Linked DNA regions of Coturnix japonica. The protein of the gene in region 1 binds, or shares a complex with, the protein of each later gene. Links are inferred from orthologs where the notes say so. Each region holds a gene or a part of one and is shown on either strand. Other genes may lie near its edges. The genes, in order: SMURF1 and SMAD1.

What was found.
Region 2: the proteins of SMURF1 (region 1) and SMAD1 are in contact, whole or in part, in an NMR structure (PDB 2LB1), measured with the Homo sapiens proteins. The link is inferred for Coturnix japonica from reciprocal best matches to the Homo sapiens genes SMURF1 and SMAD1. Residues at the interface, in NP_065162.1 of Homo sapiens: Glu313, Val314, Arg315, Ser316, Arg321, Tyr323, Val325, Asp326, His327, Arg330, Thr331, Thr332, Gln333, Phe334; in NP_001003688.1 of Homo sapiens: Asp221, Thr222, Pro223, Pro224, Pro225, Ala226, Tyr227, Leu228, Pro229, Pro230, Glu231, Asp232.

Annotation. Positions count from the first base shown.
Region 1 is NC_029529.1:4,318,716-4,334,671, reverse strand, and holds part of SMURF1 (E3 ubiquitin-protein ligase SMURF1), read left to right. Parts: intron 1-795; coding exon 796-871; intron 872-1,190; coding exon 1,191-1,444; intron 1,445-2,236; coding exon 2,237-2,321; intron 2,322-4,555; coding exon 4,556-4,702; intron 4,703-5,599; coding exon 5,600-5,804; intron 5,805-6,509; coding exon 6,510-6,613; intron 6,614-7,030; coding exon 7,031-7,145; intron 7,146-7,643; coding exon 7,644-7,822; intron 7,823-8,664; coding exon 8,665-8,802; intron 8,803-9,161; coding exon 9,162-9,282; intron 9,283-10,755; coding exon 10,756-10,957; intron 10,958-11,752; coding exon 11,753-11,837; intron 11,838-12,563; coding exon 12,564-12,663; 3' UTR 12,664-15,408; coding exon of another isoform or gene 15,409-15,497; 3' UTR 15,498-15,956. Other genes in the region: urotensin-2 receptor-like, read right to left, coding at 15,409-15,497. UniProt on the Homo sapiens protein: E3 ubiquitin-protein ligase that acts as a negative regulator of BMP signaling pathway. Mediates ubiquitination and degradation of SMAD1 and SMAD5, 2 receptor-regulated SMADs specific for the BMP pathway.
Region 2 is NC_029519.1:27,354,405-27,368,984, forward strand, and holds part of SMAD1 (mothers against decapentaplegic homolog 1), read left to right. Parts: intron 1-4,672; 5' UTR 4,673-4,897; coding exon 4,898-5,297; intron 5,298-14,580. UniProt on the Homo sapiens protein: Transcriptional modulator that plays a role in various cellular processes, including embryonic development, cell differentiation, and tissue homeostasis.

The DNA.
Region 1 (15,956 bases):
GAAAAAGAAATCCATGGTTGTTGCTTCAGAGCCTTTTCTGTGTTGTTTCTTCAGGTTTTAATGGGATTAGGTTACATAACACAAATTGTTTTGTTGTACTCTTACAAATGAGTTGATTTGCTCTTATTTAATAATGGCAAACAATATTAAAAAGAGGGAGTGCATTTGGCAAGGTTCCTATTGCAGCTCTGGAAGGGTGAATGCTACTGTAAAACTAATTGCATTTGGACCAAGATGGCAGGCAAACAGAATGTTACCTGGATAAGAGTTACTTAAAGAATTGCTGTTTTAATACCATCCTTGATTTTTGTCTATGTCTGTTTTTTTCCCACTTCTGTCAGTGCTAGTTTTGCACTCTAACTTAACCCATATCACCACATTGCTCTGCCTCCCCCTGCCCTGCCCTGCACCCAAACCTTTCAATATATGTACATCAATATGTCTAGCAAAATCTAAATTCTCACTGTAATGATGACATCTAGTGGTGAGCAATTTCCTCCCATATAACCTTCCCGAATCCTCATGGAATGCAGTTGTGGGAGCTGCCTTTTGACATTCACAGAAATAGGCTCAGCTTCAGCTTTGATGATGTGATGCCTCTGATGCCTTTTCACCCTTTTTAAAAAATCAATGGTGTGTTAGGATTATGGAAGGATCTGGCGTGAGTGATGTGCTCTCATATGTGCAGTATGGTTTTAGTGTTCCTCAGTGCTTTATGCTGTGTAAATATGGGTTGTCTGGTTTTTGTTGTTGCTTAGGGAACAATTATTAACTTGTGTTTGGTTTTTATTTCAGTCAGTTTACAGACACGGGACAGAATAGGCACCGGAGGTTCTGTAGTAGACTGTAGAGGGCTTTTGGAGAATGAAGGGTAAGGACTCCTTTCTTTACACTTACTTAGAAAACAAGTTCATATGTGGAAAGAATATAACGACTATTATCTTCTCTGGGAACGCGTAACAGGTAGTAAAGCTGTAGCTGAATGCTTCCTCAGAAGAAAATCATCTAAACTGACTAGGACTTGATATTTCTTGTTACCAGTGCCTCTGTTTGGGTAGGAAATTTGGTGTAAGAAAGTGATGTACCTTGGGCTGGAAGTTACTTAAAGTAATGGAGAGAGAGGGGAAAAAAAGCAAACAAAAACAAAGCAGTTATTTCTGCATTCACTTCTGTGATGGAAAATCTTGAAGTTTCCCCATTTTCAGAACGGTTTATGAAGATTCCGGACCGGGGAGGCCACTGAGTTGTTTTATGGAAGAACCAGCACCCTACACAGACACTACAGGGGCTGCAGGTGGAGGCAATTGTCGCTTTGTAGAGTCCCCCAGTCAAGATCAGAGGCTTCAGGCACAGCGACTTCGGACTCCTGAAGTCAGAGGTCATGTCCAGACACCTCAGAACAGACCTCATGGTCACCAGTCTCCTGACCTACCTGAAGGCTATGGTAAGAATTTTCCAGAGCCATTCGATTTAAGTTTTCAAAAGACTTCAGAGGAAAATTATCCCAATTTACCAAATCGATGCGGTTTACCTGTTAGGACGTGAAGTATCTATAAGCATCTAATGGTCTGTGTTTTGGAAAAGGAACTAAGCAGTGCAGCTGCAAGTTTGAGTCTAATTAGCAGTTGTCTACTCCAGGATACACTGAGAGGTTGATGGTAAATTAAACATGAGTTTGTGGTATGATGCTGTTACAGAAAATTCACTGCTAATCTTGGCATTGTATCTAGGGAGAATGAATGTAAAGAGCTCTTTAAACTAGAGCAGTAGTGCTATTTTTTCCTTCCCCCTTGGCATATCGTGTAGGTTTGAGCCCACATTTGAGAAAAGATCAGGAAAATATAAAAGCAAAGAAGCCAGTAGTACAGAAGATTAAGAAGGATAAGATTAGGGAGAATTTAAAGCTCGGAAAAGAGCACGCCAAATCTAGGAGGAAAGAAATCCAGTTTGGGGGGTTTGAGATGTCTCAAGATCTAAAAATAAAAATACAAACTGAAACACGCTGGATTTCTGAGTTTGAAAAGGATTGCTGAACTGTGTCGTCAAGTAAACTTGTGAGCACTGTGTTTAAGGGCAAAGCAGTCTGTGCTGCAAGAGATCGGGTGGGATGGCTCAAGTAGTTTCTCCTAGCTCTGACAGAAAGACAATGTACACCAATGGCTTCAAACTAACTGTTTATTCAGGTTGGTTTTTTTTAGGTTTGTGCCTTAAAGTAATCTTCCATCCATTTTCGCAGAACAAAGAACAACGGTACAGGGCCAGGTTTATTTTTTGCACACGCAAACTGGAGTTAGCACATGGCATGACCCTAGGATACCAAGGTATGTATTTATAGGGCGATGGGGTGGGATTCTGTGTGTGTACAGATGTGAGCTGAATCTTTTAGAGCAAAAATCAGTGAAAACTTGAAGAATAATAATTATGAAATAGACTATCTAAATTTAATGTGAGAGAGATGAGCAGAGGGGTGATTTTGGTTCTCTCCATTTAGCTTTGCACTGTACATTAAAGATGACTTTGAAAGGGAGAATTATCTACCAGTGAATCTTGTAAAACAAGCAAAGAAAAACATGTAGTCCTTCAGGAATTACCATTTGGCAAACCCTTCCAAAAGGTCACTGTGACTTTGTTATTGTTTTTTATAAAGTTGGTTTTCTGAATCAAATTTTTTTCTTTAGAAACAGTTTGGACTACAAATTAGATAAAAAGGTGACTGCCGCCTGAGTATTGAATTGGTAATTTCTGTATAATAGTGCCCATTCTTGTACAACTGAAGCAGAGATTACCTCCAGTCTTTAAACTTGAAGTAGTGCTGGGGTTTTTATGCTTCAGACCAATGATTTGCAGCTAGGAAATTCGAATCCTCCACATGATTAATTTAGTAAAGCCACTTTAAAACTTAACCTGCAGTTAATCCAGGTCTTTGTGACTAAGGTCTGTCTGTCTTCCTTGAGGAGCTCTGAATCTGGACTGTTTCACTGGGCTGCCTGCACACCCAGTTCGGTAGTAAAGAACAGCGTTTGTAACTCTTCAGCTGCTGTGTTCATTGTGTAATAGACCGGTGTGGTACAGGATATTAGAAAAATTATATACAGTAGTGTAGGCAAAAGTGTAGATATAACCACAGTATATGGGAGGATATGAAAAAATGAGGTTCAGAGAGAGATAAAAGCGCTGATGTTAGATTAGCTGATGCTGTTGGAAGAAAAAATGACAATGCTCATTCTTCATGTCAGTCAAGTCAGGCTTGGATGCTCAAAGCCTTGTTTCTTCTCCAACTGATCCTGGTTTACTTAATGAAAGCTGCTGCTTCTTTTTGCTGCACATTTTAGCCAGGATTTTGGGACCAGCAATGTAGGTGGTCACAGCAGTGTCTCAGATTCAGTGGTCACCCGTCTTTGGGTTGAGATGGCTTTTCTTTGCCACAGAGTTACAGTGCAAAAATGTAACCTTGGCATTTAGCACAGATGTAGGTTAAAACTTGGTGTAATCAGATCTCTAAAGCACTTTCAGATGCACAGCTGATTGAAACAAATGGTTACAACTATAATCTTCTTTCAAGGAGCCTAACAAAGGCTTGTCTGTCTCCCTGTGTACCCCATGCTGGCTTATGCCATCCCTTGACAGTAATGAAGCCTTTGATGTACAAAGTGTTCTACCTTTTCTAAAGCCTCTCATACCCTTATACTGATGTTGGGCTGTTAGATTTAGGTAATGAAATCTATAGAGTGATGTCTTCAGCCCTGCATAATAGATAAACCCGCCTCAACTGTCTAGAGAACACCTCCCTTAACAGCGTTCCTGTCAAAACAACAGTCTCCAGGTTCCCCTCCTTCTTTTTCTTGCCATTGTTGGTATTTTACTATATGGAGCAGCTTTAAAGCGTTTTAAATTCTCGAGTTGTAAATACATCCCGTGTTGAATTTAAACGCTATTGTGCTACCTGAAGGTGAGTGATTGCCTTTAGCAGCTCCTACAAAGGATGGCACCTTAAAGCTATCAAGAATGAAAGGGATGAACGTGTCAGAGAAGCCTTTCTGTGAGCGATTTCTCATACTTAAGTTTCTAACCTCGCTAATTAAATAGGTGAATTTTTCTTTTGAAGCCATTTTAGTGTTTGGCTGCCTTGGCTTCTTACCCTCCTGGGTATTTGGAGGCAGTGGTTGATTTAGAGGCCTTTCATTTTTAGGTTTTCTGCACATGGGTCGCATTAGTGTTAATAGGATTTTTTATTTTTATTTTCTGTCAAACTCTTTGCTACAAAGAAGATCTCTCTGGCCTTTTGCAGCTCTGCCTAAATGATGATGTTGCATGTTGAAGTTACTTTTAAGCTGCATGGCTTTGTTACTCTCAAGGACAGATTACAAAGTTGCACTGCTTAGATGAAGGATTCTAAAAAGGCAACATTAAAGTAGTTACAGTGTACTGCTTTCCTGAGGCTTTCATAGCCTGGAATCACAAAGAGCCAAATGCACTCCCCCTCCCCATTCCCTGAATGTAATTGGTTCCACCTTCACTTCAGGAGTGCTTTAACTTTGTTTACTTTTCTCCTTAGAGACCTTAACAGTGTGAATTGCGATGAACTGGGACCTCTGCCTCCAGGTTGGGAAGTTAGAAGTACAGTTTCAGGAAGAATATATTTTGTAGATCATAACAACAGAACCACACAATTCACAGATCCACGACTACATCACATCATGAAGTAAGAAGTTTGTATGATAAATAATTTATCTCAAGTTTGGATTCTTAAGCCATTTATTTTTGTACAATTTTAATTACAGTCCGGGAGTCATGAGATGCTGAAACAAAACCCCATTGCTTAATGATATTAGGCAACAGATGCAAGGAGGTGAATTTTTGTGCGAGTCTAATCAGGGTCTGAATATTAGTTGTCAGCCCTAGTTTTGTCTAACCTTCATGCAAAGACTTTACAAAACTGTTTTTATTATGCTTTGCAGTCCCCAGGGAGGGCTTGCATATTTCTGCATAATGCTGATCTTTTAAGTTGGTTTGACCAAACTGCACCAAGTTGTGTCGGAGAAAATATGCAGATCTAGAAATGTTGCAGTGCAGAGTAGAGGATCTGCCAGGCAGTTCCACAGCACTCTGCTCATGTCTCTCTGGCTTAGCAGTTCTAGTTCTATTCTAGCTCTTGGTAGATCTGAGCTGGCTTTGTGCTCCTTTGAGCTCCAGACAGCAGGAATATAAAGCCAGGTGGAGTCTGGTCTCCTGGTGCAGTGCACAGCCAGCTCAGGTTTAGCGGGATTTAATAAATTCAAGCTCTACATCATGCAAAAGCAGCTGCACTGTTACAGAACTGGCCCTGGAAGAAGCCTGATGGTGTGCATTGTGCTTGAGTTCAGAATTTGCCTTAGATCCAACCAGTCTGTGCTTGAAGAATATACTGCAGAATCTCTTATTTAAAATATGAAATGGATCCTCAACCCACATAAAGGCATGACCAATGAGGATGAACGTTTGAGGCTTTGTCTATGTAGGAGAAGTACACATTTCTCTTCCAGTAATCGTAGAGGTAGTTCTTTTCTACTGTGTCATTTTGTAATGCTTCTAGAATAAATATTTTACTTTTCTTTCAAAGCCATCAATGCCAGCTAAAAGAGCCCAGCCAGCAGCCTCTGCCAGCTCCAAATGAGGGGTCCGTGGAAGAGGGCGAGGAGTTGCCTGCACAGAGATATGAAAGAGACTTGGTGCAAAAGCTGAAAGTTCTTAGACATGAGCTTTCCCTTCAGCAGCCGCAGGCAGGTCACTGCCGAATTGAAGTGTCCAGAGAGGAAATATTTGAGGTATTTGATGGACTCTTTATTACAAATATCAACTTCTCTCATTCAAGTGTAATAAAACTGGTCTTTTCTTACATCAAGTCAGTTTAATGGGAGAAGTGGTGAATCTGGTGGTATCATACAGATTATCAGAACTCTGATTAAAATAAAGAAAAAGAACATTCATTTAGTTTCATGTTTTAACTTGGCCATTTATAAGAAGAAATTCTGAGTAGTTTGGGGTTCTTTTGCCAATACAAATTTTTAGTTGCTAAAAGGCTTTCACCTTTCATGGTGAAAGCTGGGTTATGTAAAGTGTACATGGGTTTTGCTGACAAATTTGAGCGTTCTTTTTCATTTAGAAATGACAAAAGTTGAAAACTGAAAAGGAATGGAATCTGCTTGTTATTACTGCTTGTGTGTGTGGGCATGTAAAAAGTAACTCTAACTGGGCATTCTTCTATTCTTAGATCGGATTACTTTTTAAGTACTTTTGTAGCAAAGGGGAATTAAGCTTTTTGTGGACTTTATACCAACAAATGTTAGTCTTGTCATTGAAATGTGCTTTAGATTAGCCCTTTAACAGAATTTTTTGGCAGCTGAGTAAAAAAAATCTATTGTACTACTGCTTCTTAGTAGAGCTAATTATAGAAAAGAAATAAAATGTCTAATCTGTTTAAAAAAAAAAAACTACCAACCCAACCAATAAATATGTCTACACATGTACAGGAATCCTACCGTCAGATAATGAAGATGAGGCCCAAGGATTTGAAAAAGAGACTTATGGTAAAATTTCGAGGCGAGGAAGGCCTGGATTATGGAGGAGTAGCAAGGTGAGATTTTAGTTTTTCTGACAGTTTTTAGCTGTAAAACTGGTGGGGTTTTGTGTATGTGTTTGTGTTCTTGTGTGTGCTTTTCAATGAGTCTTGTACAGATTTGATTAGTTTAAATATGCCCCTGACCATGTTTAGGGAATGGATAAGGAATGAGATGGCATTGTCTCATTGCTTACTAGCTATGTTAATTCATGTTAATTTCTTCACTACTTATAAACTACAACCAAGCAACCTGTACGTTGAAAAATACAGTAAGATTTTAAGTGTACTTCTTTCTTCTGCAGGTGGAAAGCAGTAGAAGATTTAATTTGAAATAAGAAACTGATAACCGTGTTAATGGTTCACAGTAACTGTGTTATCTAAAACTTAAGTGGAAGTTGCATTCTTTTAAAATAACACTTTCTTTTTTGGCAGAGAATGGTTGTATTTACTGTGCCATGAAATGTTGAATCCATACTATGGACTCTTCCAGTACTCTACAGATAATATTTACATGCTGCAAATCAATCCAGACTCCTCTATCAATCCCGTAAGTATTGACTTCTGAGCAATGTGTGTATTTTAAGAGATTGTCCCTTGCAGTTTATAATTGCAGCTAATTCTTTCACAATGAGAACATAGACAGTGAAGTGAGGTAAAAATGTGTTAACACATCTTGTATTGTTATAATGCAGAGGAGCAGGGTTTGCACAGAAATGGAAAAGCATGAGAGGCCTCTCAATAAGCTGCTGTGTAGTTTGGGTGTTTGCTTCCTCATTATTGCAGGACTTGTATTGATATAAACCCTAAAAGGAGAAGCAATTCTGCTTGCAAGGTCTAAAGTACTTGTATATAGTTTATTAGGTAAAGTGCAGAGACTTGTTTGATATGTTTAATCATTAAATGTTTCTCTTCTTGGTTATGTTATGAGGAAAAAATGTGGTTCCTTTTGCCCAGAGGGGCTGCAGATGATTTGCACTTAAATAGCCACGAGATGTCAGTGTTAGAGTGTCTTTGTGCTGCCTGATTTTCTCCTCTCTCCCTGCAGGACCATTTGTCTTATTTCCATTTTGTTGGTCGGATAATGGGTTTGGCTGTGTTCCATGGACACTATATCAATGGGGGGTTCACGGTTCCCTTTTATAAACAGCTCCTGGGGAAACCCATTCAGCTCTCTGATCTGGAATCTGTTGACCCAGAACTACACAAAAGTTTAGTCTGGATTCTGTAAGTACTGTATTTATTGGTTGTCTTGCTGTGGAGAAGATAATGCTTTACAGAAAATAGAAGGGTCTTGTAACAGGGGAGATGGGGACAAAATTCCCAAGGAACAATTTCTGTGTCAAAAAGCTCAAACTATGTGAGGAAATTGTTCTCATGTAAACTGTGTTAGGCCTCCTTGTAGTAAATTAGGTTCTGAATTAAGAGTTGCGTGAGTGTGGTAGAATACCACAGTATCAGAATCCTCAGAACTCCGTCCTGAGTTTGGAAGTACAACCTTTGGCCTTAAGAAAGCATGGATTTAAAAACAAACAAACAAAAAAACAACAGTATTGATTAAAAAGAAAATAAATTGAATTAATTTGAACTTTGTACATGTACAGTTTAGAACAAAACAAACCCATCATCATTAGGTGAAGCTTTGGGATTCTTCAGCATTTCTTCGCATTGTTCCTTTTTCATAAAGGCTGTTTTAAATTTAAGTTTGAAGTTATTGGTATGTTATTGAAAATAATTGATTTCTTCTGTGCTGCACTCAGTAGATGACAGCAGATTGCGTTATTGTTGTGTATATATATGTGTGTGTGTTTAGGGTTTAATCATTTATTCATTATCCCAAATACTACCACAACTGTAATGGTGAGAATGGCGCCTCTGACTGGGCTCCTCAGCAGACATTAAGCCGTATGGAAATCAGTGGTTGTGGCAGCATTCCTCTAGTGGTGTGGAATGCAGATGGATGCTTACCAGGTTTATACTGACACTGTGTGTTCAAATAACAAGCTGTCAGCATTGCCACTGCAAGTGATCAAAAATACAACGTTTACCTTCTGTCTTTCATTTGTTAGAGAGAACGATATCACCCCGGTTCTGGACCATACTTTCTGTGTGGAACACAATGCTTTTGGGAGGATTTTACAGCACGAACTCAAACCGAACGGCAGGAACATTCCAGTGACAGAAGAGAACAAGAAAGAATATGTCAGGTATTGCAGAACATATCCTGCAAATGTAGTGGAAGGAAGGCAGTGAACACGTTGCTTCTTTTTATATGGTGTAACTAATGGTATGGGTATTTCAGAGGGAAATACCTGATTCATAAATTACGTGTTTTCATGCAATGTAATGTAGTAAAGCCTGGGAAGAAGAAGTTGTAAGTTGTACATTGTGTTGTCTGTTGATGGTATAATAATTAACTGTCGATAGCAAAAGGAATTAATAATCATTTCTTTCATAAAATGTCTTTTAAAACTAATTCCTCTGTAAAATGAACTTTTTCCAGCCTTGCTCAAAAAAGCCCATTCTTATCCAGCTTATCACTCTGACCTTTTTTGCCTTCCCCCAGGTTGTATGTGAACTGGCGATTTATGAGAGGCATAGAAGCACAGTTCTTGGCTCTGCAGAAAGGTTTTAATGAACTCATTCCCCAACATCTCCTCAAGCCTTTTGACCAGAAGGAGCTTGAGGTATACATCTTAACCTCTTGGAATATTAGTTTGTAATTTGTACATTCTAAACTCAAGCACTGATTTGAAAGTAAATAACAATACAGTTTATTACAGTTTCTATACTAGAAGGTTATGCGTTTGTTAAACAGAAAACTTTGTTTTATTCTAGATGTGCTTTGGGTTAGTGTTAGTGAGAGGACTGCTCAGACAGGGGAGATGAATACACCGTGCTGTGTAACCAATCACTAATGCTCAGAGCAGGTGGTCTGGGCAGAGAGAGGGAGAATTGCAAGCCTGAAGAGCTGCTGGCAAGACCTAACCTGTTATGTGCCCCAGAACTTGTTTTCTTCAATAACTATTTTAATACGTCTGTTTCTATAGACACATAAGTCATGGTTTACAGCAGCTAAAGTATAAGTGAGAGAGCACATAGAAAATGAATTAGTTTATCTTTGCATTTAATCCTGAGGTACAGAGTTCTGCACCGTTTTTCTTTCTGATTTTTGTTTATTATTTTAAAGAAGGCAGTGGACTATTTGGAGCATTGGAAGAAGTAGTTTAATGGAAGTAGTTTGTGCAGACCAGTTGTTCACACGAAGTTACTGTGTTCCATGAGTTAGTTGTTTAAAAAGGCAGATTGTAAATCCAATTAATATTTCAATTCTTTCCAAATTAGGATAGTTACAACAGCCCTAATACTGTAAGTTAGTCTAAGTGGGTACTATCTTGGTGTCACAAAAAGACAGCTGCTAAATGGCAGCTCTTAGAATGGAATTCTCAATATGGAATATTGTGGGAAATTTAGAATATGACACACATTTTGTTTTGAGTGATGATGTCTCCTGTATGCCATTTGTTTGTCGTTGCCAGGGTAGCTGGTTAGATTCATGGCCAATAATGACTTCCTCTTTCAATATTTTGCAACCTGGTTTCATCTGGAAAAGAGATTGAAGTAATCTGTCTAGTCTTTGTCAGACACTCTCATAAACAACATCAAAAAACAGCTGCTAAGTTTTTGTATTTAATGGTTAGTTATGGACAATAGACCAATTAGGCTGTAACCATAAACTGAGCAGCACTTTCTTGTAGTGGGTTATTAGCAGCTCTAGGACAAAGCCAGATCAGGAAAATGATTTCTGTGTCAACTCAGTGGATGGCATGCCTTCATCCAAGTCTGTGCTGTGTCCTCACAAAGATTCACTGTACTTTTCAGGTGGGGTAGATTTAAAAAGCAGGTCTTGAATGGGCATTTGAATCTGATTTCTTCTGAAAATTCCAGTTCTGGTGCAATCCTCGGCTTCAGTTTCATTGCAGATTAACTGGGGAGATTTACTTCCTGTTCTAAACTGTTTTGGAGGGTTACTGTGTACCAGGAAGGTGGCTCGAGTGCATAAAGAATGCTGGGCATTGTGAAATAATTCAATGTATGTTTTCATAGCTGCAAAACTGAAATGACTTTGAATGTTAAAGCATTTTCTAATCCATTAACAGCTAATCATAGGAGGCCTGGATAAGATAGACCTGAATGACTGGAAGTCAAACACACGCCTAAAGCACTGCATGGCAGATAGCAATATTGTGAAGTGGTTCTGGCAAGCGGTGGAAACATTTGATGAAGAAAGAAGGGCAAGGCTTTTGCAGTTTGTGACAGGTTCAACGCGTGTCCCACTTCAAGGTTTCAAGGCTTTACAAGGTGACTGATGTGGAGGCTGAGTTAACATGCAGTGGGAGGAAGACTGTGTGGAATTTATTGGGCCCTTCTGGAATATCAGCAATATCAATACTGGATAACTCGATCACTTGCAAGCTTTTCATCCTAAGAGCAGTTCTACGTTTATCAGTGGCTGCTGGTGACCACTTTAGCTGTTGCTAACAAGTCATGCAAGCTGGACAATCTGTCCTCACGTAGCACTTAGGCTGCTGTCAGTACTGGCTTATCAGTCTCTTACAGTTCTGTGGACTGATGTTGTTAGTATCACTGCATAAGAGCATGTACGTGATTATAGAGCAGACTGAGCAGTTCTTTTACATGAGAAGTGTATCCCCATTGATGCTTGGCAGCAGACCATTAGACTGAAACAACTTCCTGAAAGTTGCAGTTTTGGTTGTCATAAAAGGTAGCAGTGTCCTAGACTTGTGGTTCTTCTAATAGCATTGCTTGTGTTAGCTGACAGCAAACTGATCTTCAGAATTGGAATGCATAGTTCTGTTTTGCAAGAAAAGTCTTCTTACTTTTGAGACTTTTCAATATAACTATGTGAAGTTTAACCACGTTCCAAAATACTGCTCTGCAAGTTTGTTGTCATTAAGAGACCCATCATTTCTATTATCTCTTCACCAGCTGCAAATCTGATCTGCAGACAGGCTATAGCACACTTGTATCTGCACCTGGAACTGTGATTTTCTCTTGCCTTTTTATAAATAGCAAAATACGTGTGCATTAATGCTATTTTGTTGAAGTGCATTAACTAGAATGTCTGTTTGTAAGGTTCTACAGGCGCTGCAGGACCCAGACTGTTTACCATCCATTTAATAGATGCAAACACAGACAACCTTCCAAAAGCCCACACTTGGTAAGATGAAATGTTCCACTTGTCAGTGTGTACTTTCCCTTTGTCTTAAAGTAGCCATCTTAGTCCTGGCTATGGATTAACCCGTGTGAGGTGCTTAGATGAATCCAAGTATGTTCTGCTAGCTTGGAAATACCTGTACTCTGCAGCCAGCAAAATAGTTGACTGAAGTTCTTATTGCTTGATGCTTGGCTTATGTCTTCTGTTCTACCTGTGGTTTTTGTCTGCCCTGAGATCAATTATTCTGAATAGTGAGATGTTAATGTCCACATATTCAGCAAAAGTATTCACTGATAAATTACTCATAGCAATGAATCTTCATTGAGGATTAGAAAGAGTAGTTTTTAGATGTAAAGTATAAGAAAAGTGCTGTTTGATACAAAACTGAGCTCTCGTATGGAATGTCAGGGAAAAGAAATGATTTCAGTAGAAGCACAGATTACATACAGGCAGAGCAAGGAGCGGGCCTGCCTGGTGTCAAGTCTCCTGCATCTCTTCCTCCCTGACCCAGCCCAAGTAAGGCATTCCTGCTGCAGAAGTACAGTTACTCCTTTGATGTTGTCTCCTTTGACCATTGAAAGAGCTGAGGCTTTGACATGAATTTTACAAATTCTATCTTTATGTAGCTAATCTAGGGTTTGTATGTTAGTTTTTTTGTTGGTTTTTTCCCTTAATTTCAATATATATGTTAGGTTCATAATCTGCAATGTGTTATTATTTTATCTCTAGCTTTAACCGGATTGACATTCCGCCTTATGAGTCATATGAGAAGCTTTACGAGAAGCTGTTGACAGCTGTGGAAGAGACATGTGGGTTTGCTGTGGAGTGAAAAAGCAACCAAAGGAAACAGATGCTAGCTCATGGACCACCAAATCAAAAGCTAGAAGAAGCTTGCTGTGAACTTCCTGCTAAGCTGTCTGAAGCACCGGAACTCTAGACAACTTGGAGATGGCTTGTTTCCCTTCCACTGTTGGTGGATGATGGTGGGGGCAGGGGCTTTTGTTGGTGGTTTCCAACTCTTTTTTTTTTTCCCCCTTTGTTACAATAAGCCCTTCCCTCTTCTTCCATCCCCATAAAATGTAATGCAGCCAAGTTCAGCATTTGGCCTTGGATACACAGGATATTCTGCTAGATTTGTAACACATATTGTGATGGGTCGATGACCTGTGGGTTTGTTGTTTTTTTTTTAATAGGAAAATCGCAGTGTAGTTAAGAATGAGCTTGATTTGCCGAGGACTTGCAGATGGTTAGGAGTGCCTGGTTAGTTTGTCTAAAATCAAGCTTGAGCCCTGTAGGGTTCAGTGGGTGCAGTGTGTCTGACTGGCGCTAGAATTTGCATTGCACATTCTAAAAACCTGATTAAAAAGTGAACTTCTAGCAGAAATTACCTCCATATGAGCATTTAACTGAAAGGCAAAGTATTTCTAGTTCTGCCTTAGCAGGAAGCTCCCAGTGGAAGCTGTGGCTTAACTTGAGAGAAGCGAAAGAATTGGGGACAGCTTAAATGGTATTGTATGATTTCTTTTTGGTTGTCCTGGCTGAAACCTAATTGTTTTGCACATGAAAACAGTTATTTCCTCCTGCAGAATTACTTTCCGTAGTTTGCTCAGATATAATTACCTTACAGAGAAAGCTTTGCAAGGAGGAGGCGGAGGACAAAATTACTTCAGTTCCAAAGCTGTGATTTCTGTGCCACTGTTCTACCTGAGATGTTTTTGCGACTTCATATTTGAAGACTCAAAATGGAAATCACCAAATGCTACATCAACAGAGCTAACTTCTGTTCTGAAGTTTTTGGCTGTGTGAAAGGTTTATTTGGAGGCTGTGGTAAAAGGGTAACTATACAGTGAATACATTTTAAATGTTAGGGAAAGCTATTGAAAGGATTTACGACTTCAGTTCTGTAAGGATAAGAATTTCTCCAGAGAGCCATATAAGGCTGTTTTTTAGTATACCTGAAACTAATATTAAAAGGTTGGTTCTCTAACACATTGCTAAGATAACTTCCCGGGGGTAACAAAAGCAAATCAAACACCCGAATCACTAACATTTTTTCCAGTTTGCACACCAAAATGAGACAGCATTTTAACAAATAACACAGCTTCAGAAAGCCCCAGTTATCTGTCAAACATGTCTAAACTTAAGTAAAGCAGGCTTGCTTGTATAGGACTTTTTTCTTTGGCAAGCCTGATTTTTAGAGAAATTCATTACTGAAACATTTAACAGATGTTTTTGTTTATGGAATAGTGCATTGAAATTCAGCTGTGGGTAAGAGGTTGTTCTTAGAAGATGTCTACTGGAATACTTCTATTTTGTCTTTTTTAAATTGAATTTGATAATAGCTTTAAACTGTGATAGGACAGAAGGTAGACACTTGTCGAAATTCTGGCATCATTCTCAGTTTTGTTTGTTTCCATTGACCATAACTCTCGTGGTTTGTGGTTGGGAGTGAGGATTGCATTGAAGGTGTAAAATTGTACCATAGTGTGAGATTTGCACAGGGTGGCTCAAGGTGCTCAGCCAGCGAGACTGTACAGGAGAGAGGTGTATTTACACCCATGTTCTGGAGGAATCTTGGTGCAGCTGGGGACGGGTTTCTGCAGTTCTGATCATTGGGACACAAGTGAAATCATGTGTGTGTTTTGCAGAAAGGAAATGGAGCTGTCTGTAGGTGAACGTCGGTACAGTCTTGGGCTGAGCAGCAGGATCCCCATGGCCCTGGCTTTTCAAAATGGCTGTGAAGTCGTACCTGTTCATAGAGTGTATTTAATCCTTTCAGTACATTTGAATGTGCAATAAACCAGTCAGATAGGAAAAATGCAGAATGGATTATTGCCCAAAAGCTTTGCATGTAGTCTCATGTGAATTTTTCACTAAAAGAGTTGAAAAAACAGATGCTAAAGCCCACCACTAACAGAAATCCTATCACACAAGCTCTATAACTGGGTCAGTGAAAACCAAGTGAGGTGAAGGTAAGGGCCCTTGGTTTGGAAGTCTATAGGTCAAGTAGCTTTTATGTCAACGACACAGTTGACATATGATAGTTCCTAATGTCTTTTCTAGGTCAGTGTTTTATTGAATGCACAAAATAAGAATAGGCAAGGATTGTTGTTTGCTGTATTTAAAAGCCCTTGTCAAGGTACCTCCTCCTTGCTGACAATAATGAGAATAGGGCACCATCTTTTTAATTATTTTAGTTCTCTTTTATACAGCTTCACCACCTCTCCCATTGTGTCGTCTTTGCAATTTTGTGCCACTTCAGTGATGATAAAGACCCTTTTTTTGTATTGTTCTGTACATGCATTTGAGGCAGGCCTTAAAGCTGAATGGATGGATAGATGGAGGAAATAAAGAAGCGAGGCAGTATGGGTTTTAAGTGATGATTTCTTCTTCCAGTGGCTGATTTCAAGGCCAGGGAAGGATGAAACGCAAACAAGAGTTTGCATGGCTCAAGCCATTGACTCTATGAGGCTTTGTGGGCTGTTCTCATAACCTCAGCTGTCTGAATTTCTGAGTCTGTCTGAGTGTGTTCATTCTTACTTGGTCTGCCAGCACTTGAACTGGTTGTTACTCCTCAAACTTGCCCAAAGAATAACATAAAGTCTGGTGTTCGTTCAGTCATTCCACGTTCCACCTTGTGCACACATGCGTCTTGGATCAGACCTGAAGGAAATACAAGGTACAATGTGTCTTTCGTTCCTGTCCTAAAGGCAAACCTAAAAGCTGGTCCGTTGGCACAGACCTTCAGTGCTTGCCCTGATACTGCTCATCAGCCTATACTATATGCTCAGGGATGTAGGAAACCACCACTTTGCTCGTGTTTATATCGGGAAGAAATGAGGCTGTTTTATGGATGTTGGCATTAACTTGGGCATTATGTTAGACAAGACCCTGCTTCAGAAAGGCTGCTTGAAGCTCCAGGGGGTGAAATCAACGTTTGCTCAGCAGTATGTACTTTGTTCAAGTTGAGGTGGTTGTGAAATCCAATAGACTTTGTAAATTAGTGATCTGGCCACCAGGGCCCTTCTGTAGCTCAGGTTCAGGGCCGCGTGGCACAGCAAGTTCCCAGAAACACAGTACGGATCTGTTTTGAATTTGTTAATTTTTGTTCCTCGACCACTT
Region 2 (14,580 bases), on another chromosome or scaffold:
AACAGTCTGTGCTATATGTATTCTCAAAAGTTAGAATTGGTAATTTTTTCAGTCCTCCTCAATGATAATTATTCCATAATTTACATACGATATTGCTGACTCTATACTTCCACTGCTATGCCTGCTTAGGAGAGGGGTCTTCATGAGGGCAGGGGTCATCTTGACCTATGAGTGTGAACTTTATTGTTACAATGAAGGTAGTTCAGCATGGACCTTGAGTTTTACTGCCAAGTTGGCAACGTCCTCAAAGCATCCTGATTAATGTCCTCCTCAAGGCCCATTGGCTCTGGTTAAAGGATGCTAAGTGTTTATTCTTCTGATACCTAACACGGTGTTAGCTCAGTGTTTATTCTGATACCTCACACGGTGTTAGCTCAGTCTTTGGAGTTGGTCTTATACAGTAATACATGGAAATAGCTCTTGCGGAGGGGGGAAGTGACAGCTCTCTGGCTCCTATGCCAAAATCTGATCTTTTTTTTTTTTTCTTTTAAACTTCTAAAAAATAAATGTCGTACTCAAAGGAAGCAAGAACTGCTGAAAAGTTGTCTTTTGGGGAAGGTAGAAGTATTTTAAAGAAGCAAATTAATATCTCTCTTCTTGTTATTTGTTTATGTTGTCAATAATTAATGGGCACTGGGAGAAGATACATTGAATAACATTGGGTTTTTAAAGTGCAGTAGGAAAACTAGACAGCTTTCTTCATTAACAGTTATGTAGATTCTGTTTGCTGTGGTTCTTGCCTAGTCTTATGTCTAACTGCTCTGAGTACATATGAAAAATACTTAATGGGATCCTTTTTGCCTGCATCCCTGGGCTGTGATACAAATAAGGAAGTTAGTAGAGGAGTTAGAGCTGCTTGTTTGCCTGAAACTCGGGTTTGGGGTTGTTTCGCCTCCTGCACAGCAGAGGATCACCTCATTGTCCCAGCCCTTTCCACCCACCAAAAACAATCATTTATGCAAAGTGGGGCAGTTTCCTATGGGATCTCCTGTGGGAATTTGAGAACAGTCTCGCTGAGTATTTTACTGTCTGCTTTGTGTTGCTGGCAGGGTAATTGTGAGCATAGGAAAGCAGAGCTTGGCTTTTAGGCGTTTTGCCCGAGTATGGCAGTTTAAACCCAAGGCTGGCTGAACAGCTCTGTGTATAACACTCATTTTTTGTCCCAGCCCCCTCACAAGCTGCATGTGGGTCTGTGTGTTTGTCAATCCAAAGATCACACAAAAGATAGCGGCAGTGGAGGAAGAGGAATAAAGCAGTGCTGATATTAAGAGTTTGTTGATTCCAGCTCATCCATCAGCAGACAGAACATGCAATAAAAAGCGCATCGTTTTTGATGTGTAAAGAGTGGCTGATAAGTGGGTAACAACTTCATTTCCTTTCAACCAATTCCAGACTGCCTTTTGGAGGGTGTCCTGTTGTTTGGCTGAGCTTGTTGCGCTGGTACCTTGTGAGTAAACATAACCTTCAAGGGCTGGTGGTCACTCAGCTGTTGGAAGAGCAGCTCCTATTTTCCCAGAAGGACGTGTGTATTTGGGAAGGCAGATGCAGACTGTCATCTGTTGACTTGCGGTTTAATCTTTATTTTGCGCTTCCAGCTGATAAGACCACTTTGTGCAAAAGTAATACAGGAAATGATGCATTGCAAAAACCAAAAGTGGCAAAAAGGGAAACAGAATGTACTGGCAAAAGCTCAGTGCTACGGGCATGCTTCTGGCTTCTTGGAAATGAAAATCTCCACCTACACGACCTTTTTTTAGTTTGACACCACTACTGGAATTTAGCATTCGAGTGGTATACAGCAGCCCGGGGTATTTCTGTTCGTTTGTTCATTTTCCCTTTTCTTTCTGGCTAATTCAGGGCCTGGATCTTCTCTGGGCAGGCTGAAATTCAGCAGCAGTGCTGGGGTTGGAGGTCAGCAGCAGGTTGTAGATGCAGCTCACAGCTGCTAAGCTGCCTTGCCTTCAACTGTATTTTCAAGTACTGTGTCTAATGGGCCTCGCTGTGCTGCTCCCAGTGCATTTCCTGCTGGCTGCTGCTCCAGAGGTGCCAGCTGTTAAGATAACACTTTTGGTTGTGATGTTGAACATATTTTGGAGCATGTGCTTATGGGAATGGGACATGTGCATGTTACAGGGTGTGATCCAAGAATGTCAGAAAATCTATTCCTGTGGCGTGGCTGCTTGGGGTTACATCTGAATGTCTTCCTGGTCTTATCAGACCGTAAGTGCAAGCACATACTAAGGCTGTATTTTCAGGCCCGAGTGAAAACATACTGTTTCAATAGGCAGAAAACTTCTTTTCTACACAAGAAGCAGTTTGCCCATCTATTTTTAAAGCAGCTTGGTAGAAGTGGGTCATGCCATGGTAATCAACACAGACACAGTTCTATGTATGTAGACTGAAGCTGGGTTTGAGATTTAGACTTCTAGACTTTTTAGACTTGTTTTTCACTAGAATTTCCATCCACATATTTAAAATATTTTTGTTGTTGTTTCAGATCTAATAGATGTGAAGTAGAAAGTTTGACTTGATTACTTGATAACAGTAGTGTACATTTTGTGTGTGGAACTGGTGTTTTTTGTTTTCAAAAAGTAGAAAAAAGCTATTCAGAACATTGAATGAGATACAGGCTATGTATGAGTTGAGAATAGCTCCAATACTTGTATGCATATTTGAAGTAAGTGTGCTGGGTCTCTGATAATAAAATTGTTGAAATAAAACAGCATTTTAGTACAGCACTTTTGAATGTATGTAAGGATAAAATATACCTGGAGTGCAGTCAGTGACAGTAATGGAGTTTTAGTTCAGTTGCCAGTATGGCTTATGCTCAGGTAAGAAAATCTATTGTTAAATTTGCCCCAGGCTTATGCATTTCTCCCATTGCACTGACATTATTATTTCAAGTAGAAGTCTCAGAATAAATGAATGGAAAGTACCAGGATGAAGCGCAGGTGGATGCAGTCTTTGTCTTAGTTTAAGATCATTATTCACATAAATGTAGTTTATACATTTGACCTAATAAAATGGAACCTTTGCAATTAGATAATTATTTTAGTGACAACTTATTTGAATCAAGTGGATGGTTTTCAGCTTGAAGTACTCTAAGTGTAGAGGTACGCAATGAAATTACAGTTATGACAGTTAGGAGCATAAGTGTGGCTTAGCAATTAAAATTTCAAGATCCATAATTATTTTTGATTATAAACTTGCAATTCAGGCTCATGGCTGCTCTGATACCTTCTAACCTGTCTGTGTATGGGCAGCGTATGGATTTTTTGTGGTGGGTTGTTCTGTGTTTTTTGTTTGTTTGTTTGTTTTGTTTTGTTTTTTGGTGTTTCTGATGGTAACAAAAACATTTCTATCCTTTTCCTCTTCCCTCTTCCTCTGCAACCTCTCGGTATCTGCTCTGGGATACATTTCCTGTCTGTCTTCATACTTAATTTGAATGCTTCTGTTTTAGTGCTCCTTATCTCCTTGTTCCTTGTGGCAGAGGTGAGTCTCTTGTTTGCTCATAACCTGAGTAAACGTGAAGCCCGCTGCTTGCAGAAGACCCTGTAATGGGGATTTCTCTGCATGCAGAGTTCTACTCCTCCCTTCACCCATTGCTTCATTGCTGTTTCACACCTCCCAACCTGAAGATCACAGTACTACCTCAAACCCTCTTATCAGTTCTTCCTCCTTCCTGCTCCTTCATGTGTCTTTGAGCACATCAGGCTGGCACTGTGAAGGGAGGGGTCAGGATGTAGTCAGTGATGTCTTTCCCTTTCATTCTGTTTAGGTGAGGGCTTTTTAGTGGGTTAGGAAGACAGAGCTTTGCTTTCTCGTGGGGAGCTGAATGAGGGCACAGATCTTTCTAGTTTCCTGTTCTGCTTTTGGTTTGTCACTCAGACTAACTCAGGTGAAGCTGAACAGTTTGTCACAGATTGTGATATGCGCAGATCCCATGCAGTTATTCTCAAATCGTATTGCTTGTAGAGATCTGGGTAGTGCAGTGCTGTTGAGGTATGTTGCTTCCACCTTCACTTGGAAATCAAAACCAAAAGTTTTGGTTTGATTTCATCCTGTATGAGTTTATTGGGACGTTTTGCTGTGTGAAGTTGCCAAGCTGATAGGCTGTGGGGAGTGTACTTTTCACTTAGCGGTGAAAGATAAAAAATGGGGGGCTGTTTTAGGCTACACTTGGGCTGTGAGCAGGAACATTATTTGAAGTTGGCAAATGCAGTTGCCCTTGCTACATGGCACAAAAATCACTGAGGCTATATCGCGTATTGGATGCGGGCGGGAACTGAGCAGAGGGATAGTTGTCCTACCTTCTAAGTTTCCCTACCTTTGCACTTCCTTCCTGCTTCTCTCTAACTCCCTTCAACCATTTTGTTCTGTTTTGTTTATGCAGTGCCACTGTTTTTCAGGGCAATCCCCTCATTTATTTAGGACTGTTTTGGTAGCAAGAGTATAAAGACTTTACCAGCATGCTCTGCTATTTAAAGGTCCTTGTCAGGCTGTTCCTTCAGTCTGATGTTGAGACTGCTGACACTTTGTGGTGGCGGTTTTTTTGTTGTTGTTGATCGGTTGGGTTTTGGTCACCCTGGCCCTGTGGGGTGGAATGTTTCTGACTGCTGGTGGTTAATTGACAAAGTGAAATCTGTTTTCCTTTTTCGCTCTTCTCCTGCAGGTTCTCAGCCGGAAGGCTTTAGCAAGATGAGAAGGCCACATCTGTCAAGGGGAACTGTCAGCATGGCCGTCCTGGGACGGGAGGACTGAAATAGCAGAAGCACCACAATATTTGGGCAGACTGCTTTTGACTACTGATTAAAATCTGCAGTGCGGCTGCGGTGGAAGAACAGGACAGTCTCTCCTGCTTGGTCTGTGGTATCCAGTGTGACCAAGTGAGGTCACCATGAACGTGACAAGTTTGTTTTCCTTCACCAGCCCGGCAGTGAAGAGGCTGTTGGGGTGGAAGCAGGGGGATGAAGAAGAAAAATGGGCGGAGAAGGCTGTTGATGCACTAGTGAAAAAACTGAAGAAGAAAAAAGGTGCTATGGAAGAACTGGAGAAAGCATTAAGCTGTCCTGGTCAGCCCAGCAACTGTGTCACAATTCCTCGGTCCTTGGATGGCCGGCTTCAGGTTTCACACCGGAAAGGGCTGCCACATGTAATTTACTGCAGAGTGTGGCGCTGGCCAGACCTGCAAAGCCATCATGAACTGAAACCACTGGAATGCTGCGAGTTTCCTTTTGGTTCTAAACAGAAGGAGGTCTGCATCAATCCTTACCACTACAAGCGGGTAGAAAGTCCTGGTAGGTTCTTCCTTGTTTGTACCTTTGCGCCTTATCTAAACAATGCAAAGTGTGGCAGTTAATCATGTGACTCATCAGCTTAAGTAAGCAGTAGTCGCTGTTTGCACACGTCAGATTTGTACTTTGCAATCTGTCTGGATATAAGCATTGATTCGCAGTTCTCCCTTTCACAGGGTGAATACTTGCCATATATAAATGCATTTTGTCACTGTGCAGCAGCATACTGTCTGTGTGTGCCTTAAGTTGCTGGATCTCTTGCCTCCTGGTTTTGTTGGTGGCCACTATCCCTCAGTTCATTTTATTTTTTTATATTTTTACTGAACAGCGCAGTTTGAGCATGTATGAAATGTTGCAAGCTAACAGGAAGGGTAACTGCGTTTAGTGGGTGAAAAACTTTCTGATATGATCTTACTGTTATTATTTCACTTCTATCACTTCTTTTCCTTCACCCTTCAGAAGATACTACGGTCTTTAAGGTTGCCTTCAGCTTTGGCCTTTGAAGTCTGAGGTTTTGGTTGCTTTTTATTTTTTTTTTTCAGACACGGAATATACCCTCTCAACCTGGAGCTTTGATAGTGGGGTTTATTTTGTACATGATGTTTTACCTTTAGTTGTTCTGCAAGTGGAATGTGTTTACCCATTACCCACTTCCACGCTTTAACAAGTGCAGCCTGTTCTCTGTCTCCTCTTCAAGGGCCCAACCCGCTTTTAGTAAATCTGTGCTTGATTTGCTTGTGTGAGTTTGTTTTCAGAATATTTCCAGGGACTAAGATGAAATGTGCGTAAACATGTCTCCACTGGTCTCTAGTTACTTGTGAGGTTGTACAGGGACATCTGCAGAAAATGCACTGCAGGTGTGAGAGGGCTTTTCTGGTTTAAATTTAGGAAATCTGCCTGTGTTAGGCACTTTGTAAACTGCGGAGCTGTTTCTGCAGAGTGGCATGGATTGCTTAAGAACTGCAGTGGAAATGACGTTGTTACCTGATTATTTTCCTGTGAATGGAAATAGCATTTATCTTGGAATTGCAACACGTAGCGTATATCTAGATGGCAAATATTTCCCTTTGGTGTGTTAGTATTAGTTTGGAAATCGTGTGTGTGATATCCATAAAATATGGCTTTTATGCAGCAGATGCTTAAACAAAAAGCTTAAACACTGCACTGGAGGAAGAAAAAAAGAGGAGTTTTAACAAATGTTAAGGGTTGTGTGTTGAGCAGAAGTGGGACAATAAAATAAATAGTTTGTATTACTAGTTTTCTGCATGTGTCTGCACCTGGTGTGTATGTTCAGTGTTCCAAAGTACTGAAAACTAAGATTCCCAAAGCACATCTAGTTCGGTCAGAGTGAGCAGCAGTTGGGCTCTTGCTGTCATGGTAACACCAAGTGATGTGTTACAGCTCATTTCCCTTTCGTCTTGGAAGCAGTTACCAAGTCTGAGAACATTCTAATTCTTATCATTTATGCCATATTTAAGACTATATTTGTAAGTGTCCTGTCACTTCACTGAGATCTGCATGGTAAAAATAGAATAGAACTTTCAAAAGATGTCTAACTAAAATGTGCTGAGTACTGTTAGGTAGCCCAAGTGGTTGGAAAGTGGTTTTGGGCCCTGAGTCACCTTCTACATTTTGTAGTTGGGAACCAGCAAAATGTTATTTTTTGAATTTGGGATTCCTGCTGTTTTAGGGTAAAATACAAATTTCCAGAGTTTGTGTAGTTTGTGCTGGGGAGAAAACAAAGAGTGACTTAATCAGTTTGGAGATGGTAGCAATGAAATATTTCCCGCTGCTCAGCCAGTGCCCCTCAGGAAAAACTAAGTACTTCTGGTTATCACCTTAGTAAGCAACTGGGCAGTTTGCTTGTTTACATCAGGGCTGGAATGGCCTTGACAGAGCTGATGAAAGGATTTCATCCACCGGAAGATCGATGTGCTGCTCTGACCAGCTGAAATTTACTGGAGGGGAGTGTTGAGCAGGAGCTGCCTTCTGCCTAATGAGTCGTGGGGCTGCAGGTATAAAGTTGTGTGTATGTTGGGGTCTCATCTTAAGAACTTTTCCAAAGTTCCACAATGCCAGAGTGGGGTCAAAGCCTTAAGTTTTTACTGAGGTCTCTGGCTGGGTTTGTGAAGGAGGTTTTTCTACTTAATTAACGCTGTAGATCAATCATTGTTTTGAGGGATATTGCATGGAGATAAATTTGGAATACGTGGCTTTTGGGAGCAGGTGGTAACTGAGCTGCCATTTGGCCTAGAGATGTGCACTTCATAAGTTACAGTATCTCTTCCTTTCCCTTCCCTGTTGTTTGTCCCCAGAGTGTCACTCTCAGCTTCAGTTCCTGACAGTCGCTCTCAAACTTGGCTAACTGTTTTTCCCCATTTTTGCCTGGACATTAAAACACCATTATTGCTTCCTAAGTGCTTATGCTTTGAGATTAATGGATTGGGGGAATTCACACATGAGTCACTGTTTCCAAGCAGATATCGAGACTTGTGTTTCCAAGGTTATCACAGCCAGGAGGATTGGAATTATACTTGACTAAATGAAGCTAGAAGCTCGAGAGAGTGTGTGATGGTCACTGTGCAGGCTGTACAAGTATATTGTGATATCCTGGCTCTGCCTGCCAGCTTGGTCAGTGCTTAACTGCCTCAAACAGACCCAGCTCCTCAGGAGCTGCTCTGTAGGGCGCTGCCTGGGATGGGATCAGTGTGCTCTGTTCACTTTCCTGTTAGTTGTCACGTGGCTGGTGTTTGTGTAAGTTCTGAAGAGTGGATTAACGGTAAATCCTCAAATAGATAACATCATGTAGTGCTTTCAGTTGGGAAATTGGTCTCACAAATGCTTTTATGTTTTCACGGTGCTAGAAGGGGTGCATCCTTGCTATCCAGCTTAAAAACACAAGCTTGGAAATCATTGCAGTTGGTGTGCTTTAGTCTGTCTGCGGACTACAGTGTTACACCTGAATTCAAGTGAGGTTTTTCTCCATTAGCTAGGTTGGATAAAAACCAGTTGCAAGGAGTTGTGGGGAGGCTGAGGAGAGAACTGCCTGGAGTTTCAGAGCCTCCCAGGTGTCCCCAACCGCTGGTATCCAGTAAGAGACTTGGGTGTGATTTGGTGGTATGATGGTAACACCTAACCCGGTGCTGAGGCTCTGTGCAGGCATCAGCACCCATATGGTCACAAAAACTAACCAGACAGAAAATTGCTGTTTGGAGATGCCATTCACAAGCAGCTCCTACAGTGGGCTGTGCCAGTGCAGTTGTCTCAGTGGCCTTGTGCTGAAGCAGACTGGCAGTGCTTTGTTCTCATCCCACTGCTGCCTTATCTCATGGGCCGATCAGGGTCATCCAGGGGATGCGAGAACACCCATGCACCCACAGGGCCTCACATCTGGCCTGTGGGTGGAAGCAGAGGTGGTGTGAAGTGAGCGTTCCAAGTGGAGGCTGTTTTGTTGCTGAGAACAGGAACACAATCTTATTCTCTACTGCCAGGATGAAATATCTTGTTACATTAGCTTTCTGTTTTGTAGCTCTGTTGGGTGCAGAATTATTTCTGGTGCAGAAATGGTGGTAGTTGATAGGTGTGAATTTCTTTTCCTTTGGCAAGGCAAAGCAAAGCTTTTAATGAAGGAGGGCAGGATTTCAATTTGATGCCTTTTAAAAACTGGTGCAGTCAGCTGAACTGGGCTGCTTGTGTGGCTGAGTCTGCTTTTTTTTTTTTTTTTCCCTTCAGTTTTAGTTTTTGGCTTAGAGATACCTGGAGATCAGATTTCTATGTGCTCTGGGGCTTGTAAGTATGACTGAGACCTGAGTCTGGGTGTAGGCACTGGGAGAGGAGAAAGCAAATGTGTCATTCCTCAACTCTGCTTGAAAATGCCACAAATGACCTCTCTGGTTTTGCTGGAGGACACACAAAATGGCATCCCAAAGCCTTTCCTGAGATACTTCTTTCTTTCCTTCTTTTAATCTGTTGCTTTTGTTTCATGGAGATACTCCCTCTGTTTCTTGCCTCTGTCTTCAGTTATTCCAATGGAATCAGGTGAAAGACATGACTCAGAATTTGGAAAAAATAGGAAGCCTGGATCCAGTTTGATCTAATAGCAAAACAGAGATGGGACAGGGAACAGGGAGGATGAAGAGTTGCTTAAGTTGACACTGCTTTAATAAATAAATAAACAGGGAAGGAGGTTCAGTTCCTTTGCTTAGTTAAACAAAAGGAAGGAAGAAATTCATATCCCCATAGAACTGATGGATATTGGCCATGGGTGCCATATGCTGCAGAACTGTGTTAGTTGGCCCCTGCTGCTCAACAGTGTTCTAGATTAAAGAGAGTTTGAGTTTGTAACATGTTGCAAAGGAAGCAAGAGAGTGGTTAACTTTTCTTTTAGCTCGGTGTGTGGAAGTTGGTGGTGCAGAGTATTTTATGTAGGGTATATACAAGGATATGACTGAGTGGTATCTTCTGAGAGTGGCGTGTGTCCAGAATGCCCTGGTATCTCTGGGGGTCAGGCTTAGAAGCAGCCTGCTTTGCACAGATCTGAGAAAGCTTAATCCTGGCTTGGAAAATGTAGTTGTTATGTTTTGGCATTCATTTCTGGAGATGATATGATATGATACTAATGCTCCACTGTTCTTGAACCACATAGTCCAGAGGAGCACTAAAACTGCTCTGTCAGAACCAGCTTATATGTCTTCAGAAATTCTGGCTGCATTCATCAACCGATGAACTCTTCTGCTTGGATACCTGTATTCTGCCTAAACTGCAGAATGAGCAGTGGGTGCTTATTTGTGACGTGGGTGAATGTGTTGTCAGAATGGCTGAATTTTTAATTTTGCCTAAATATCATGTTCCTTTCCAGTATAAACATGAATTTAAAGTGGATGTCTGCCTCACTAAGTTTGCCTGCAGTGGCAAGAAGCATTTAATGTAAATGTAGAGGTGCTTTATGGCACAAGAACAGGCCAAGTCTGTTCCTGGGCTCTGAGAAGAGCAGTAGCTATGTTGTGCTGTTTTTGCTTCCTGCCTATGACTTTAACCTGATTGCTTTCATATTTGTTTTTGATCTTCTCTGCTCTGAATGTCTGTCAGGCTGTACACCTGATTGCATGCACCAGAGGTGCAGAAGGAAACTTAAAATGGTGGAAACCCTGGCTAAGGCAGCTTGAGATTTGTGCAGCCCTGGAAGTAGATGCTCCACATAACACTGTTGCTGCTCTGATACTCAGCAGAAGAAAATGTTTAAAGGAGCTTTTGAATGCCATTTGAAATCATACAGATATTTGGTTGTGTGTAGCGTGATTATGCATGCAGTTGTGCTAGCTTATGTTTGCTCGTGTGTGTTCTTTCTCCATATAGGTACTGTATAAAAACATGAAATGGGTCCGTTAGTTAAACCCAGTCTTGTTCCCTGGTACCCACCCGGCTTAGGATCGCTGTGTGTGGAGCTACTGTACCCAGGCTGTTACCTGTTGGATCACTACAAGGAGTGCTTAGGCTGCAGATAAGCAGCAGAGTTCGAATATAGTGTGCTGCTTGTGGCTCTGGCTGTTTCAGCAATCATCATCAAATGGGCAGAGGCTGTAATTCCTCTGGGGTCAAACAGGGAAGCAGGGCGGAAAACGGAGGGTGAACAGCAGTTCCCTATGGGACTGCCAGCTTGTCTGGGCTTCCAGGGTTCCCAGGGCCTGCATGGCCCCAGCACCTGGGAGGACCGGAGGCGGCAGGAGAGCCTCCGGCTGCTTTCCGGCCAGATGGAGAAGCTTTGATGGCCAGGGCTCGGGGGAGCTGGGGACCAGCTGTGTGCAGCTCTCCTCCACTGCCTGGCCTTCTGGAGGGTGGTGCTGGATAAGGGGGGATGCAGGGAGCACGGAGAGGAGCCTTGTGTGGGAACTGTAAGGGGGGGAGACTGGAGAAGGAGAAGCGAGTGCAGTGGAAGGAGGAAAACAGAGGAGAGGGGTTGAAAAAGGAAAATACTAGAGAAACAGGTCAGCAGCTGATTTGAAACAGAAAAAGGAGATCCAGTTTACTAAACTAATTTACAGAAGCAGTTTACAGAAATTCACCCTTTATTCCCGTAGCACGGTTTGTGTACCTCTGGAGGCTCAGGGGTGTGTGAGGAGGGGGTGGCATCGCTGGGAAGTTTTGCCTTATTGCTGCATAACCCTGCTGTTGGGCGTAACTTTAAAAATAGCGTGCGACAACAGGTGGGTACAATTAGAAGATGGTTCCCCGAAATAGTAAACAACTGTCAGCTCGTTTGGCAGGGAGTGTGAGACTTTGCACATTTCAGTTTTGCTGAATTATTATTTATAATAATTATTAGAATTCCCCACCAGAACTGAAACAGGGAGACAGGAGGGTGGGGGATGGCACAAACTGTTTGTCCTTTGTCCAGCCTTGGGAAGGAGAGCTGCAGTAAAGGGACAGAAGTTGTCAAGAAGGATGTTGGTTTGTTTCTTAATTAATGAGATTCAGATGTTTCTTCTGGCTTAGAAGAGCTGACTTCCATACTTGAACCTATTCAGTAGGATGGTAACTATGGTTTTCATCCAGGTAATTTGAACTCTGGTCTGTGTAAATGTCTAACTTAATGCACGCTATCACACTGTAACTTTCTCCTGTACTTGCTCCTGTATCAGGAGTGCTTCTCCCCTCAAATCAGCTTACAAGAACTCCCTCGCTAATGTGCATATGATTAGTACTAAATTCTGAAATTGGCCTTGACAAATGTCAGTTTAATCAAAACGTTAGCTTATCAGAGCATCCGCAAGTAAAATCTAATGTTAACTGGATATTGTAATACAGGAAATGTACTAATGTTACTTGCCAAATGCATTTAGACCAGATGTCTGATGTAAAAGTAAAGTCAGCGAAGCAATAACTGTGCTTTTTTTTTTTTTTTTTTCTCTTTTTTTTCTTTTTTCCCTTCTGTTTTTAAACACAGTCTTCAGTTGCAACTATGTAAGATGACAAATCAAGCTGTGGGGTCTGCAGAAACTGCAAAATAAAACAAAGGGTTGAGAAAGCAAGGCAGCTCACAGCTTTCCCCCGGAATAGAAAGTCTGGAATGTTTGTTTGTCTGTCTGTCACCCAGCACAGACTGCTGGACAGCTATTGTTGAGCCTTTTCCTTTGCAGCTACTAGAATGTAGGTTTGGAGCAACAGCCCCAAAGGCTGGCAGCTCTGCTTCAGAGAGAGCAGCAAAGCTGTGCTCTGCAGCCTGTAGCACTGTCTGCTGCAGCCAGGAGGTATTGTAACAGCATAAAGTAGCGAGATCTGTGGGGAATTGCATTTGCCACAACAGTAATTATTTTTAACCAAGAATAAACTTGATCATGAGTGTAGCCATGCAAGTATCTTTGTATGTGAGAACTTGTCCTCTGGTCAAAAAAAATAATTCAGTTTTGCCAGGTGCCGTTTGAGGCAACACAAGAAAACCTAATGGCATGAAAACTTTTCTTTCTGCTTGGTGTTCTTTTGTTTACAAGCAAGACCTTGGCAAGACATGTCAGTCAGCAAGTCTCAGTGACTCCTTAATGCTGGAGACAGCAAGCAGAGGTAAGCACTGAGCTGGGTGTGTGCTGGTACCTGCTCTGTTGGCACCATGGGAGTGATTACTTGCCGGTGTGCCACAGCCTGCTTCAGCTGCACTGGCCTCAAAGGCAGGATTTTGAGGCAGGAGTCTTCAGAATCATTGGAATTTGTTAGCTTAACATTGATGCTGTGCTTTTAGGATTTATTTGGTTTTGTGTGTGTGTGTATGTGCTGGTTTGGTGTTTCTTCTTTTGTTCTCTGACTTCTTACTTTGCCTCTTAGGACCTATCAAGAGCATTGAGTGAGCCTTGTGCTTTCATGCCCATCTCCAGATAGTGCCAACTGCTGTATGAGGATTTCATTCCTTCTCAGCATGCAGTTTTATTTTCCCCATAAAACATGAGCAGCTTTGCATAAATTCATATGAAAACAAGCCATATGATGCTTGCAAATTAAAGTACACAGTCTAATGATAGTGCCCTGAGGACTTCATAAGGCCTGTTTTGGTGTAAGGCTGCACAAGCACTTCTACATAACATATACCCACCAAGTTGTCATGTTTTTTAAGGACAGGGTGGTTGAAAGTGAAGCAGCAGTTGCTCATCCTTTACTTATTTATTTGGTAAAGCTAGCAGAAATAATGGAATTTACTTTGGAAAGGATGATCAGAGCCTGCTTTCTGATGTGTGGCTCCTTGGAATATTCCATTATTTGTTCTTGGAATTTACAGACATGAAAAGAAAGATCCCTACCCAAATCTTCATGTAATAAGCCCATGAGGGAAAATCAGCTGTCATCTGGGCTTGTGTAAGACAAGCAGAATTCATCTGGATGAAAAAAATAAGATACTTGGAATGTACAGCGGATCCTTTGGTTTGGAGTAGGGTTTATTTTTTAAGAGAGAGGCTTTAAAAAAGAAGTTGTAATCATAAATCTGTGACTTTCTGTCTTTGCTGAAACCATTATCTCTGGAATGTGAAATTAGAACAAAAAGGAAAACCAAGAAAATGTTGAGTGTCGCACACCTGTTAGTTTTCTGAAGAATGGAGATACAAAGAGTAGAGATCAGTAGCTTTCTTCAAAGGCCACTGTAAACATTTTCATAAGAGCATTTCTTTCTTGGTGTGGTTGGTTGGAACATTTATCTGAGCAGCCCAGTTGTCTTTGGTCTATATTCTGTGTTTTTGACGTTCTTGGCTCTTAGATGAAATAGCCCTGTGGGTGAAATTGCCCTTTAGCTGTAATTTCTTTAATACAGCTCCGCTTGTTTGGTGCAGGCAAACTCTGAATGCAATTTGCATGTTAAGAACAAGCTGCCTAATTCCCAGGCTGTCTCACTCTGCTGACAGATACAGGATCTCTTCTTTGCTTCAGTTTTGCAAATGTATCCAGCTTGACTTCCACGGGGTTTAACTTCCTCCTCAGCCTTTAGTAGCAATGCTGCTACTAGTAGGCATATTTTAGGGCTGGCATCCAGGTGCACGTCTGCAGCAAGATTGAGATACAGCTTAACCCCTAAAAACTTTAAATCCGGTGTTTGAGAAAGCACAGAAATTGAGCTGTCTGATGACCTGCAGTTCTACTCCATTAACCGGTTTTAACCATTTTTGTAAGGTTGAATTTACAGATTTTTTGAGATGCTGTTTGATACAATTGTTTCAGTAGCTTTTAAAGACAACAGTGTATTAAGTGTTTTTCCTTTAAATATATGCATCCAACTGAATAGAAATAGTGACAAATAAATATATATATA